2 linked regions of the Xenopus tropicalis genome follow. The main gene of each other region encodes a partner of the protein of the gene in region 2 in a complex. Links are inferred from orthologs where the notes say so. Each region holds a gene or a part of one and is shown on either strand. Other genes may lie near its edges.

Evidence for each region. The genes of interacting proteins can lie anywhere in the genome.
Region 1: the proteins of ppargc1b (region 2) and ppara are in contact, whole or in part, in a crystal structure (PDB 3SP6), measured with the Homo sapiens proteins. The link is inferred for Xenopus tropicalis from reciprocal best matches to the Homo sapiens genes PPARGC1B and PPARA. Residues at the interface, in NP_573570.3 of Homo sapiens: Ser154, Leu155, Leu156, Gln157, Leu159, Leu160, Leu161, Thr163; in NP_001001928.1 of Homo sapiens: Val284, Thr285, Thr288, Glu289, Lys292, Phe297, Leu302, Asn303, Gln305, Val306, Leu309, Pro458, Leu459, Glu462, Ile463.

The regions. Positions count from the first base shown.
Region 1 is NC_030679.2:3,227,530-3,235,224, forward strand, and holds the start of ppara (peroxisome proliferator-activated receptor alpha), read left to right. Parts: upstream 1-2,934; 5' UTR 2,935-3,219; intron 3,220-4,902; 5' UTR 4,903-4,946; intron 4,947-7,373; 5' UTR 7,374-7,399; coding exon 7,400-7,628; intron 7,629-7,695. UniProt on the Homo sapiens protein: Ligand-activated transcription factor. Key regulator of lipid metabolism. Activated by the endogenous ligand 1-palmitoyl-2-oleoyl-sn-glycerol-3-phosphocholine (16:0/18:1-GPC). Activated by oleylethanolamide, a naturally occurring lipid that regulates satiety.
Region 2 is NC_030679.2:43,953,414-43,960,906, reverse strand, and holds the start of ppargc1b (peroxisome proliferator-activated receptor gamma coactivator 1-beta), read right to left. Parts: upstream 5,017-7,493; 5' UTR 4,987-5,016; coding exon 4,915-4,986; intron 1-4,914. UniProt on the Homo sapiens protein: Plays a role of stimulator of transcription factors and nuclear receptors activities. Activates transcriptional activity of estrogen receptor alpha, nuclear respiratory factor 1 (NRF1) and glucocorticoid receptor in the presence of glucocorticoids.

The DNA of each region.
Region 1 (7,695 bases), about 41 Mb from region 2:
GGAAGGGATCATGGGAATTGAGGGCCCCGGGGCCCATTTCCCTGTATTTACACCATTGGACTGAGGTTCAGACAAACAAATTAACCCTAAATCCCATTTCCCTGGCAGGACGGCTTTTCCTGTTTGGCCAGTTGTGCCCTTTGTAACAGGCCGGGCTCAGCGCCGGGCGGGATTGGCCGTTTATCAGTTACACATTGATACGAGGGCCCGTGGGGTTGGGACCTTGGCACCTGATTCAGCACTCGGCTTTGCCCCAACACTCGTGACTTTCTGTGTCGTCAGTCAGAATTTATAAATGAGAATGGGGGGGGCGGTTAGGGGATGCTGGGAATTGTAGTCCAGTGGCTGTATATAAACAGGAGCTGCCATGTTGCTTCCCTGATGCAACCTGTACAGGCAAGTAGGGCCAGTAGTCACATTATTCCTCCATTGTTTAAAGGCCAAGGTCCCTGTTGATCCAAACGACTGAAGGGTAAAATTGTAACAAATTCTGACAGGTGGTTTGGTGTCCTGCCCCGGGGTATTTACTGACCGCTAAATAGAGCTTTGTGGGAAAGAGAGAATGAGTTTTGCCTTTAAATATTCAATGCTGCCCCCCCTGGGGCAATAAAAATGCTTCCTTTGATGCTGGAACCTTATGGAATACTTACTTACCTACCTACCCCCATACTGTACTGTCTGTATGGCACCTCCTACCCATATGTATAAATACAAATATACAGAGAGGGAATGTTCTGGGCACACAATAAGCTGTACCCCCATACTGTACTGTCTAAGGGAAACACTATGGCACCCCCTACCCATATGTATAAATACAATATACAGAGAAGGAATGTTCTGGGCATACAATAAGCTGTACCCCCATACTGTACTGTCTAAGGGAAACACTATGGCACCTCCTACCCATATGTATAAATACAAATATACAGAGAAGGAATGTTCTGGGCACACAATAAGCTGTACCCCCATACTGTACTGTCTAAGGGAAACACTATGGCACCCCCTACCCATATGTATAAATACAAATATACAGAGAGGGAATGTTCTGGGCACACAATAAGCTGTACCCCCATACTGTACTGTCTATGGGAAACACTATGGCACCCCCTACCCATATGTATAAATACAAATATACAGAGAGGGAATGTTCTGGGCACACAATAAGCTGTACCCCCATACTGTACTGTCTATGGGAAACACTATGGCACCCCCTACCCGTACGGTTACTGCCCTGGCTCGGCCTATGAATTGACAGAATTGAGTAAATACCCAGTGACAGGCTCGTTTCTGGGCCCCGGGGCCAGTGAGTGATTATCGGGGCGACGCTGCAGGAAGGCCCCGGGTTCAATAGAAAGTAAAGCCCAAACATCTGTTTCGCGTTGGGAGCCAATGGGACGCGGATTAGCGTAAGGTCTTTACAAGCCGCGCACTCAGCGTCTCGGTGATTAAAATGGGATTAGGGGGCATAAAAGTTTATGCTTGTTGGTGTGAGGGGGTGGCGGGGGGGCAGGTAGAAAGGTAAGCGGCCCTGGGGGCACAGGGTGACCTCAGTTGCCCCATCTGGAATTTAAAGGGGAACTTGAAAAGAGAAATGAAGGGGCTGCGACGGTCCCTGGACACAAGTAGAAGATGCCGGGAGTTGTTACAACCTGGGCGCGGCTCCTTTGAGCTAATGTTATAGAATGGCCCATTCTTAGCAACTTTTCAATTGGTCTTTATTATTTATTTGTTATAGTTTTTGAATTATTTCCCTTCTTCTACCACAAATGGGGGTCACTGACCCCGGCAGCCAAACCCTATTGCTCTGTGAGGCTCCAGTTTTATTGTTATTGTTACTTTTTATTCCTTATCTTGTCTCTCGTTCAAACCACTCCCTGGTTGCTAGGGTAATTAGGACCCTAGCAACCAAATAGCCGCTGAAACTCCAAGTGAAATAGCTGCTGAACAAAAAGTGAAATAACTAAAAAAAAACTACAAATAATAATAATAAATGAAGACCAATTAGAAACTGCTTTGCTGAGGTCGCTCTCCCTATGGTTGTTGGGGTCGCTGTCCCTATGGTTGTTGGGGTCGCTCTCCCTATAGTTGTTGGGGTCGCTCTCCCTATGGTTGTTGGGGTCGCTGTCCCTATGGCTGTTGGGGTCGCTGTCCCTATGGTTGTTGGGGTCGCTGTCCCTATGGTTGTTGGGGTCGCTGTCCCTATGGTTGTTGGGGTCGCTGTCCCTATGGTTGTTGGGGTCGCTGTCCCTATGGTTGTTGGGGTCGCTCTCCCTATGGTTGTTGGGGTCGCTCTCCCTATGGTTGTTGGGGTCGCTGTCCCTATGGTTGTTGGGGTCGCTGTCCCTATGGTTGTTGGGGTCGCTGTCCCTGTGGTTGTTGGGGTCGCTGTCCCTGTGGTTGTTGGGGTCGCTGTCCCTATGGTTGTTGGGGTCGCTGTCCCTGTGGTTGTTGGGGTCGCTGTCCCTGTGGTTGTTGGGGTCGCTGTCCCTGTGGTTGTTGGGGTCGCTGTCCCTGTGGTTGTTGGGGTCGCTCTCCCTATGGTTGTTGGGGTCGCTGTCCCTATGGTTGTTGGGGTCGCTGTCCCTGTGGTTGTTGGGGTCGCTGTCTCTGTGGTTGCCGGGGTCGCTGTCTCTGTGGTTGCCGGGGTCGCTGTCTCTGTGGTTGCCGGGGTCGCTGTCTCTGTGGTTGCCGGGGTCGCTGTCTCTGTGGTTGCCGGGGTCGCTGTCTCTGTGGCTACCTTAAAGGGGAACTACACCTAAAAACTGTTCTTTGGGTTTTTTTAATGCAGAATCATATCTGTTGGCTTAATGTTGCCTTTATATCTGTTCCTTGGCGGGGGCCGTGCCGCGTGGCGGTTGGTTAATGATTGCATGCTGAGCTCTAATGATTAACCTATTAGCCGCCGCTAATCACTCTCACTGGGTGTCTCTGTCAGTCAGCGACGCTCTCTTTCCTCGCAGCACGATTTAACCCTTCCCTGCCTGGGTTTGGCTTCTACTCACTTTCTCGCTGAATCAGCAGTTTTTGTGTTTTTTTCATTTGTTTGTAGAAACCTCATTCCCGACCCAGCGGAACGGAATTCCCAGCAGCGCGATCGGCACAACCGGAATGTGCCAGGAAGCGTCTTATGGCGGCGCCGCCTCATTGGCCCAGAAACGATAGGATGGCGTGATTCCCGGAACTGATTGTTATGGGAATTGTGTGTCACGCCTGGAACAGGTTGGGAATGACTGTCTCTTCCTACTGTCTCTACCTTGCCCTACTGTCTCCATCTTGCCCTACTGTCTCTAACTTGTCCTACTGTCTCTAACTTGTCCTACTGTCTCCATCTTGCCCTACTGTCTCCATCTTGCCCTACTGTCTCTAACTTGTCCTACTGTCTCTAACTTGTCCTACTGTCTCCATCTTGCCCTACTGTCTCCATCTTGCCCTACTGTCTCCATCTTGCCCTACTGTCTCCATCTTGCCCTACTGTCTCCATCTTGCCCTACTGTCTCCATCTTGCCCTACTGTCTCCATCTTGTCCTACTGTCTCTACCTTGCCCTACTGTCCCCATCTTGCCCTACTGTCCCCATCTTGCCCTACTGTCCCCATCTTGCCCTACTGTCCCCATCTTGCCCTACTGTATCCATCTTGCCCTACTGTCTCCATCTTGTCCTACTGTCCCCATCTTGCCCTACTGTCCCCATCTTGCCCTACTGTCCCCATCTTGCCCTACTGTCCCCATCTTGCCCTACTGTCTCCATCTTGCCCTACTGTCTCCATCTTGCCCTACTGTCTCCATCTTGCCCTACTGTCTCCATCTTGCCCTACTGTCCCCATCTTGCCCTACTGTCTCTTACGTATAACTGTCGCCCCCACTACACGCAGACAATCAATCAGTCAGCCCCATGTTTATAGATTTCTGTGTGGGTTTCCCTGTACAACAGTTATCCCCCCCCAGCACAAGCTCCGCCTCCTACATAAGCCAGTACAGCCCCCTGCTGGCAGCCCCTGGGAATGCGCAATACAGTAGCCAGCAGTGATGTCAGAGGGGAACTCAGTTTGCCGTAGAATCCCAGAATACAGTCTGCTAAAGGGGTGGGGCATACCTGATTGGGCGGGGTTATACATATATCAGGGGCGTGGCTACACATAACTCGCTCCACGTGAGGGTAGTTTCCCGACATTGTGAAATTGTTGCTGACTCTGCACTTTTCTGGGCAGTGTTTGGCCGTGAATATTGATTCAAACGCTGTTTTTGTTATTTTTTTTAACACCATTTAGTAAATTGCAGAGAACTTTTCTTTATCAAACTGGTCTTTCCGGTTTGGGAGGGGGGACTCGACCCGGGCGGTTGTGTTTAACTCATTTATCTGTGGGGGAACAAGGGGAAGGGGCGGTGGGAGGGGCTTCTCTGGAACAGGTGGGCTTTTATGTTGCGTGGGAATGCAGTCCAGCAGGAACGGCCTGCTGAGCCCTAACAGCCCACTTGTCTTCTTCTAAGTTCCCCTTTAAAGTGGCAGCTGATTATTGACAGATCCAGTCGTTGCAGTACCGCCTCTCACCACTATCAGCCAGTGGCCAGTGTTTCTCATTGGGCCCCAACAGAACAGCGCCACAGGCTGAGGGTTTCTGTGGTTACGCCGGTGTAACAGGTTTCTATTGGTCGAGTCAAATCTCCCCTTTAGGAATCTGCCTGTGAGTGACCTTGGAGAGCTTTATCTCCCGGCCGCCCAGTTTGCACAACCCTAATTAGCTAACGAGCCCCTCCCCCGCAACAGGTGGAGCACAATAAGCTTCTACCTTGGAGTCATTAATAGAAAAGCTAAAGATAGTTTAACCCTTTGGCGGGCGGGGAGATTCTCATTGTCACATGGGTGCGAGCGCCCAATATAACTGCTTTGTGTTGTGTCTTACAGGTTGGACTGATGCAGCTTTCCTAATAGTAACGTCTGAGTAACTAGTGAGTATGTCTTCTACTGTACTGGGAAACACTATGGCACCTCCCACCCATATGTATAAATACAAATATACAGAGAGGGAATGTTCTGGGCACACAATAAGCTGTACCCCCATACTGTACTGTCTAAGGGAACACTATGGCACCCCCTTACCCATATGTATAAATACAAATATACAGAGAAGGAATGTTCTGGGCACACAATTAAGCTGTACCCCCATACTGTACTGTCTAAGGGAAACACTATGGCACCTCCTACCCATATGTATAAATACAAATATACAGAGAGGGAATGTTCTGGGCACACAATAAGCTGTACCCCCATACTGTACTGTCTAAGGGAAACACTATGGCACCCCCTACCCATATGTATAAATACAAATATACAGAGAAGGAATGTTCTGGGCACACAATAAGCTGTACCCCCATACTGTACTGTCTAAGGGAAACACTATGGCACCTCCTACCCATATGTATAAATACAAATATACAGAGAAGGAATGTTCTGGGCACACAATAAGCTGTACCCCCATACTGTACTGTCTAAGGGAAACACTATGGCACCTCCCACCCATATGTATAAATACAAATATACAGAGAGGGAATGTTCTGGGCACACAATAAGCTGTACCCCCATACTGTACTGTCTAAGGGAAACACTATGGCACCTCCTACCCATATGTATAAATACAAATATACAGAGAAGGAATGTTCTGGGCACACAATAAGCTGTACCCCCATACTGTACTGTCTAAGGGAAACACTATGGCACCTCCTACCCATATGTATAAATACAAATATACAGAGAGGGAATGTTCTGGGCACACAATAAGCTGTACCCCCATACTGTACTGTCTAAGGGAAACACTATGGCACCTCCCACCCATATGTATAAATACAAATATACAGAGAGGGAATGTTCTGGGCACACAATAAGCTGTACCCCCATACTGTACTGTCTAAGGGAAACACTATGGCACCTCCCACCCATATGTATAAATACAAATATACAGAGAGGGAATGTTCTGGGCACACAATAAGCTGTACCCCCATACTGTACTGTCTAAGGGAAACACTATGGCACCTCCCACCCATATGTATAAATACAAATATACAGAGAGGGAATGTTCTGGGCACACAATAAGCTGTACCCCCATACTGTACTGTCTAAGGGAAACACTATGGCACCCCCTACCCATATGTATAAATACAAATATACAGAGAAGGAATGTTCTGGGCACACAATAAGCTGTACCCCCATACTGTACTGTCTAAGGGAAACACTATGGCACCTCCTACCCATATGTATAAATACAAATATACAGAGAAGGAATGTTCTGGGCACACAATAAGCTGTACCCCCATACTGTACTGTCTAAGGGAAACACTATGGCACCTCCTACCCATATGTATAAATACAAATATACAGAGAAGGAATGTTCTGGGCACACAATAAGCTGTACCCCCATACTGTACTGTCTAAGGGAAACACTATGGCACCCCCTACCCATATGTATAAATACAAATATACAGAGAAGGAATGTTCTGGGCACACAATAAGCTGTACCCCCATACTGTACCGTCTAAGGGAAACACTATGGCACCCCCTACCCATATGTATAAATACAAATATACAGAGAAGGAATGTTCTGGGCACACAATAAGCTGTACCCCCATACTGTACTGTCTAAGGGAAACACTATGGCACCTCCCACCCATATGTATAAATACAAATATACAGAGAGGGAATGTTCTGGGCACACAATAAGCTGTACCCCCATACTGTACTGTCTAAGGGAAACACTATGGCACCTCCTACCCATATGTATAAATACAAATATACAGAGAGGGAATGTTCTGGGCACACAATAAGCTGTACCCCATACTGTACTGTCTAAGGGAAACACTATGGCACCCCCTACCCATATGTATAAATACAAATATACAGAGAAGGAATGTTCTGGGCACACAATAAGCTGTACCCCCATACTGTACTGTCTAAGGGAAACACTATGGCACCCCCTACCCATATGTATAAATACAAATATACAGAGAAGGAATGTTCTGGGCACACAATAAGCTGTACCCCCATACTGTACTGTCTAAGGGAAACACTATGGCACCCCCTACCCATATGTATAAATACAAATATACAGAGAAGGAATGTTCTGGGCCCACAATAAGCTGTACCCACATACGGTACTGTCTAAGGGAAACACTATGGCACCCCCTACCCATATGTATAAATACAAATATACAGAGAAGGAATGTTCTGGGCACACAATAAGCTGTACCCCCATACTGTACTGTCTAAGGGAAACACTATGGCACCCCCTACCCATATGTATAAATACAAATATACAGAGAAGGAATGCTCTGGGCACAATACCCAGAATAACAACGCAGTGTTTCTGTTCCTTTCCCCTTTAGTGTGATGGTTTCGGGCCAGACTTGCTATGTCCGCCATCATGGTAGACACAAACAGCGAGTTGTGCAATTTGACCCCTTTGGACGAGGATGACCTAGAGAGCCCATTATCGGGAGAGTTCCTGCCGGACATCGGGGACATTCAGGATATCACTGAGACAATCGGGGACGATGGCTCCGCGGCTTTTGGTGCCTCCGAGTATCAGTTCTTGGGGAACAGTCCGGGGTCGAATGGGTCCGTCAGCACAGACCTTACGGGTAAGGGCAGGGAATGGGAAAGTTACAGATCATTGATCCCTATGGGGCAGTTTACATGAGAAGGCGC
Region 2 (7,493 bases):
TGTTGCTTAACAATTGTTAGATATTTTAAAGGATGTCCCTCCCTCAAAATCCCACTGTGCATGTCACAAAAATTACTTACAAGAATATCCCTGATGATCCAAGTAGAAATAAAACTCTAAACTACAGCTCCCAGCATTCACATTTAGCCAGCATCTAAGGAGAACAGCATAGCGCAAAAGTCTTATTTCAAATGAAAATCAGCAGCATCACAGATGTGTAACTTCTCATTGATAGAGTGACAACACTTTTTCTACAAGGTACCTTCAGTATTCCCACTGAGAGCAAAAAACAGTTATTGCTTCCCAGATCCTATTTCACACCTAGCATTTCATGCATGGGCCTGGTTTCCCTATGAAATCAAGCATTAATGGGCTTTTTAAGAAATGATTTAACCCATTATATGCTCAGTGGCGTACAAGTGAATGTAAATTGCTATTATGAACAGAGGCACTCTAGTTCTAAAAAAAAAAAAGGAATAAAAAAATCTAATCTGGTACTTAAGTTTTCATGGTGACAATGAGGTTTATGAGTAAGAGATTTATTGCTCCATGTGACCTTTATACAGTGTTATCTCCATAGGAGCTAGACATTGTACGCCATCTTATTTCATTTAACTCTATTCTTCTGACTGGAAATGAAACCTGCAACCACGACCCATGTTTATAGTGTTTGCAATACCTCTTCAGCACATAGGTTCACTGTGTTCAAATAGTAATAAAACTAGTGGATCTTTCGGATAAAACTGCCCATAGGTGGCTTTCAAGCTATTTTACATCATTATATGCACAATCACACACAGCAGGTCTAATACTTATTTTGTATGCTCAGTCATGCAATCTTTACTTGCATCTCTAAACCACTTATAACTAAAAGTAAAATAAGCAGCAAAGACTGTTTGTCCCACAGGAACAATGATTTTACTGTTTTAAGATGTAGTTCATCTTCAAATTAAGTTTTAGTATTATGGCTGTGATATTCTGACAGTTTGCAATTGGTCTTTACTTATAATGTTTTGAAATGATTTCGCTTTTTGTCCAGCAGCACTTAGGCTGATGCCACACGTGGCGTTTTTACACTGCGTATTTTCTAATTCTCTCGGTGGCTGAAAAACGCACAATATCATCATCCATAGAAATAACTTGAAAAGACTCGAAGGAAACCACACAATGCGTAAATACGCTAGAAAACGCCTTACCACAAATTTTTCAAGTATTTGCCGAAATACGCCGTTATTTGCACAGCAGCCTATTCCTATGTATACACAAAGGCAGCTGCCAGACCTAGCGGAAATACGCTGCGTTTTTTTACTATTTCGCACTAATAGCACCATGGGAAAAGGGATTTGCTACGTCACCAGTACTAGGCTGAAAAACGCCAGTCAGGGGCTGTGTGGCGTTTTTAGGCTGAGAAAATATGCAGCATAAAAACGCCATGTGTGGTATCAGCCTTAAGCCTGTAATTTTAGCAGCAATCTGGTTGCTGTTTTCCAAGTTACCCTAGCAATTAGGCAGTGGTTTAAAAACCAAATAAATGCAATAGTATTATCGATGAACAGCCAAGACACTATGCTTTACTGCAGTGTATGAAGAATGTTTCATAAAGGGTTTCACACCCCCACCCTGATGCTGCTGTCTAGAAAGTATATATAGTCTAAATTTGTTTGATAATCATAAATAATTGTAAGGCGCCATGTGAACTGTAAAATGTGCCATTGGCAAGAAATGGAGAGTTCCCTAATGATTCCCATATCATTAAATTTAAAGTAGTGTGGCGCTTATGAGACAGCCTAATAACATATTAATGAGAATAAAGAACAGGTGCTACATTTGCAAGTGCTGTGGTTCATAAGGCAACCATTCACCTACAGTGCTGGAGTCAGAACATGGAAGGGGGCAGGTTAGAAACCCCTGTGCTAGTGACATTTGCAGCCCTTACACAAGCAGGACTATATTAGGGCAGTTAATCTACAGCAAACAGACCCTATCGCTCACATGGTAGAGGCTGGCAAAAGTTTAAACCAATGTCACCTGAAGGCAGCAGAAAAGAAAAAACACATGTTCCTAGAATTGAGTGTAAAAGGGGGGAGGGCACCCTTTATACTTTCTTTATCAGCATTCATTCCTGGTGTCATATCATAGCAGTAGAGGAAGGCAAAGGGCACACCTTTAGCTCCAGTCACTTTCTCATCACCTTGACTGAAGTTTGTTCACTACTAGCAGTCATTGCTAAGCAAACACCACCTCAATAATGAGCCAAAGAACATTGTACCAGAGGGCCTTGGGGCCTATTTATCAATATCAAAAGAAAGCACTATCCTGGGTTGCAGTTTCTAGAACTTATAGGGCTACGTTAGTTATCAATAATTCTTGGCCCTGATAGGATTGCAATTTACAATCAATTTTTTATGAACATCATAAGGCTGGAATTAAGGGTTCTCATTAAGGAAGTGTTTGCACAGCACAGCGAAATATCTTAGGTTAATTATTGGGCCATGCTACCTCCTGAGGTGTGGGTCCCAGGGGAGGAAAAGGCTTATTGTCTGTTCCTCTGAGTGCTGATTATAACACACCTTTTTTCTGCTGCATCAGCAAAAGCACCAATTAAATTCAACAACTGTTCCACAGAACATTATTTTTGGGTGGGGAGGCAATGTGATAGTTAAGGTATCAATCTGACTTCATATGCAATTCAAGTAGCGCAAAGCACGCCACGTGAACACTATGCTTAAAGGAGCGAATGCCAGCCAGATCTGGATCACACAGGCAATGCAACAATTCCAGGCATTAAGAGGGTTACACTTGTGTCACACACCCCTGTGGTATCGGACAACACAGAACATATAGTATTAATAACATCCTCTGACATTATTCCAAGCAAAGTGCAAAACACAATTATAAAATCAGCCACTCATGTTGCCAATATCTTTGGCACCCTTAGCATGACAGCAGATGCGCATCCCCTGCAAGTTGCAGCTTGGCAACATCTGGAGTACAGAAGGTTGCCTATCCCCGATAACATAATCCCTACTGTATCTCTCATAGAATATGCACTGCACAAACCTGCATTAATTATGCCTTAGTGGGTAAGGGATCTTATGTAAGAGATATTCTTTATTGGATGTGCTTGATAAAACTTGGTAATCTGATCAATCTAGCTCAGTGAAGATTTTATCTCAGGCTTGGCCACCGCTATCCATTATACAATGTCAATAATGAGAGATCTCCCTGCCCATAATAGCCATCAGTGAAGCTGCATCTCACACATGCCCAGAATACTCCTGTTTTGTAAGCAGCAGACTGCGGTTATGAAACTCCCAGCCCCGAGACACGCACACTTCTAAGCATGGCTTGCTATTAGGGAACAGTGGATTCCTTTAGCAGATCTGGAAGTGCTGCTCTTTGTACTGCACAGACCTGCTTCCTGCTAGTACAGATCGACCAACGCACTTTGGCTCTGGGGATTAGCATAGGCAATAAAGGGTTAAGGATGAATACATCTGCATCCGAGGTACAAAGGCACATTCTTATTTTACTTTTATTCACTTATTAAACTGCTTTTGCGGCACCATTCCTATACTGTAATATTTTAACCGCCTGCTGGTGTGTAGCGAATTACAAATGCCATTTAACTCTTTGCCATCCACGCCACTTCTGTAATGATACATACAGCCCTTAAAAGACATACATTACTTACTTTAGAGGAGCCTATTTATGTATATATGTTAATATGTATATGGATTTATAACTGCGCAGTTTATTGACCCTAAGAGCAAATGCAAGGAGGCAGGCACAGAGCTCCTGTGTTTTATAATAGCTGGCTTGATAATCACTCCAACTGTGCTCTCAGCTGCTGATTCCTTGTACTCCACATCAGACATCCAATACAAATCCATTCTACAGGAACCCATACAAAGGAGATGTGCAGAATTTCAGACAGAAGGTTTTTTTTTTAACCATTTACTCCACAGGTTTGCTAAGTTGCCAGCATGGGGTTAAGCAGGACTGCTGCTGCACGCTATCCGCTTCCCACTAAGCACACACACATTTCTCATTTTAGTTCAATCACACTACAAAATGTAAAATCATACAGTTTCCAGTGCAGATCTGAGTTCCCATAGGCAGAAGGAGCAGCCTGGGCTCCACGCCCCCTCTCCGAGCTCCACATGCAACATCCTGCTGAGTGCTGAACACCACATGGGCAAGCCGGGCACTTTCTATTCACGTGTCCCAGGAGCCAGGTCCCATCACTCCTACACTGAATCAATGGGGTACCCCCCAACCTTAAGTTTTCTCTGCAGTGGAGTCTTCCAGCCATACACTGGATACCTAGAACATGCTGCCCTGGGCTGCTCCACATGGTAGCAAGGGGGGTGGGGGGGCATTAAAAAGGGCCTCTTGGCCAATTAATAGCACCTCAAAGTTTTTGCAGCATTTCAGGGCGAGGGTGATCTTTAAAGTCATAATGACTAGAGTAAAACTAGAATTTCAAAAAACAGTCTTCTAACTTTCACTTGCCACATTTGCTTCATACAGACTAGCATGCTCTCCAGTATATAGAAAGACTACCGGTATTTCCATTGATCATTTAAAGGTTGTTAAGGGGTATGCTGGGAAATGTAGTCCAGCATTAGCTCTGGAGGGTAGCAGGTTGGATATTACTGCAGTGAAGCAGCAGGGTGCATCTCAAGCATGTGGGCACTTGAAGTGCAATTATTGCCAGTGTTATTAGGGTTGGGGATCTGCGCCTAAATCTTGCCTCCATGCCAAGTGAGGAGCATGCAAATGGGGTACAAAAAGATTAGGGTGCACAGACCCTGTCAGTGATGTAATAAATGGCTCTGTCCATGCCATCAATAGGTGCCTGCAGAGCAGCTCAGGCAAAGCCATGTCTCCTCTCCCCCCACGGCTCCTTACCGGGCTGTCAGTCAGATAATTAAAGACGAAAGACTCAAGCTCCTCATCCAGCAGTGTGCTGCAGTCCGCCATCTTCCAGCGAGTGCAGCTCAGTGCTAGAGAGAGCTCAGTATAGAGGAGGGGGAGCCGGCAAGTGGGAGGGGAGAGCAGCCGGCTCAGGGGCAGGCAGGAGGGAGGGATTGGTTCTACACTGACAGCAATTCTCTCTCACTGCTTCTTCTTCCCACTTTATTAGCAGCAGGCACCTCTACCCTCCCATGGGCCATAGTCCTTCAGCCACCTGTAGCTCTGCAACTCATGCAATTGCTTTAAACTTCTGCCAGCCACTACCATGTGAGCAATAGGGTCTGTTTGCTGTAGATGAACTGCTCCAAATATAGTCCTGCTTGTGTAAGGGCTGCAAATGTCTAACTTGCCCCCTTCCATGTTGTGACTCCAGCACTGTAGGTGAATGGTTGCCTTATGAACCACAGCACTTGCAAATGTAGCAACTGCTCTTTATTCTCAATAATATGTCATTAGGGAACTCTCCATTTCTTGCCAATAGCAAATTTTACAGTCTACATGGCACCTTACAATTATTTATGATCAACCAAAAAAGTAAACTATATATACTTTCTGAAACATTCTTCATACACTGCATTAAAGCTTAGTGTGTTATGGCTGCACATCAATAGTACTATTGCTCATAAAGTAATTGATAATGCCTGAGCTCAGGGGTGCCCAGATTTTGTCACCCTGTGCACTGTCTATTGTACAGTGCAAGCCCCAAGAAAAAGTATATCACTCTGCTGCCGATACACATAGCATGATATATATCCAGCGCCAACTTAATGTATAATGGCTGCCAATACAGAAAGCAGTATATTATAAATTATACATGCAATGGAAACTTCATTTTTCAATGTCTGGCACATAGCATTATAAATGCAGTGTCAAATTAATTCACATTTAATGCCCACATAACAGTATACAAATGCCAGCTTGATGTTTAATACTCAAATACACATAGCAGTATATAAATGCAGTGCCAACTTCATATTTATTGTGAAAAGGATTGGAGTACTTTTTACTCCCCTTCTTGTACACAGCCCACTTTGTAGTTTGAGCACAGAAGAATCTGTGACACTCATCACTGGAAGTAGATACATGGCATAGTAGCCCTGGTAAGTGCTGCTCCAATCGCAGGGCTCAGCTAAAGACAAAACATTCAGATGCTGTGGGAATCCTGTCTGGGACTTACTGGTACTGGAAAACAGGCATAGACAGTCTCATATATGTAAATAAGAAAGTAGTGAGCTTTTAGTCCAGGGGAATCTAGTGGTCTTAAAACAGAGATAGTTTGTCTGACAGCCCCCACTGATCTATTACTAAACCAGTGGGAGAATGGGCAGTGAGTAGTCTGCACAGGCTGCTGCTTATCTTATCAGGAGAGCAATACACTTTTTCCTTTTTCTTTTTGCGCCCTCTGTGCAGCTATTCAGTGGCATTGCTATGGGACAAATGTATACAGTGACCAGGCAGAGACAATCTACTACTCTGGGATGAAGCTATACCTCTGGTTTGCTGGGGGGAGGGGGGGCTAAGGACCCACATAACGAGTTGCTCTAATCGCAATAGATCACTGCTACCTTTGGCGACTAACCATTACAAAATGCCTTTCCTCCGGTAACAATAAGGGGCACATTTACTAATCCACGAACGTCCGAAAAGCGCCCGAATGCATTTTTTCCGTAATGATTGGTATTTTTTGTGATTTTTTCTTCGCCGTCACGACTGTTTCGCGAATTGTCACAACTTTTTCGCCGCCGTCGCGAAAAAATCGGATTGGTTTTTCCGCCGTTTATAATTGCTCAATATGAAAAAATCACGACGGCAACGAAAAAGTCGCGCAAAATATGATAAAGTCGTGACGCTGGCGAAAAAATTGCGCAAAATACGAAAAAAACGCGACAGCGACGAAAAAATTCGCAAAATTTTCGTTTCAAATCCGTTTTTTTCCCATTCAGGATTCAGATTAGTGGATTAGTAAATGTGCCCCTAAGTGTCGCCGGAAGGCCCGGATTTGAGAATAGCTAGCCCCCTTTCGCCACCTGCCCACCCCCTCCCCCCGCGCATGCGCACCACTTAACTCGCATACGGAGCAGTGGGGAGAGGACGCGCTAAAGTTTCTGCACGTCCCATCCCCTTGGTTCTGTATGGGTGCAAAATTTCAGTGCTGCTGGGTGGCATGCCGCCTCTAAATTTGGGCCGCCCTAGACCCGGGGCCTTGCCACAAATCTGGGCCTAGTCACTGGTGGAAAGGCCAACACATCGCTTCAGCTTTCTGAAGTTGGGCAAAGTTGCTTGCAGGAGGAAACTTGCAACATTGGAAAGCCAAAGCAGGAAGCAACATGGTAGCCCCCACTCATATATATATGCAAATTTGCAAATAATAGTAAACATACTTTTGAATCGCCAATAGGTTATTATCGTGACAAATACGATTTTTTTGTAAGCATTTTTGTGATATTTGAGTTCTTCAGAAATTTTCGTATCCAATCTGAATTAATCCCATTCGGGATTCGAACTTGTTATTT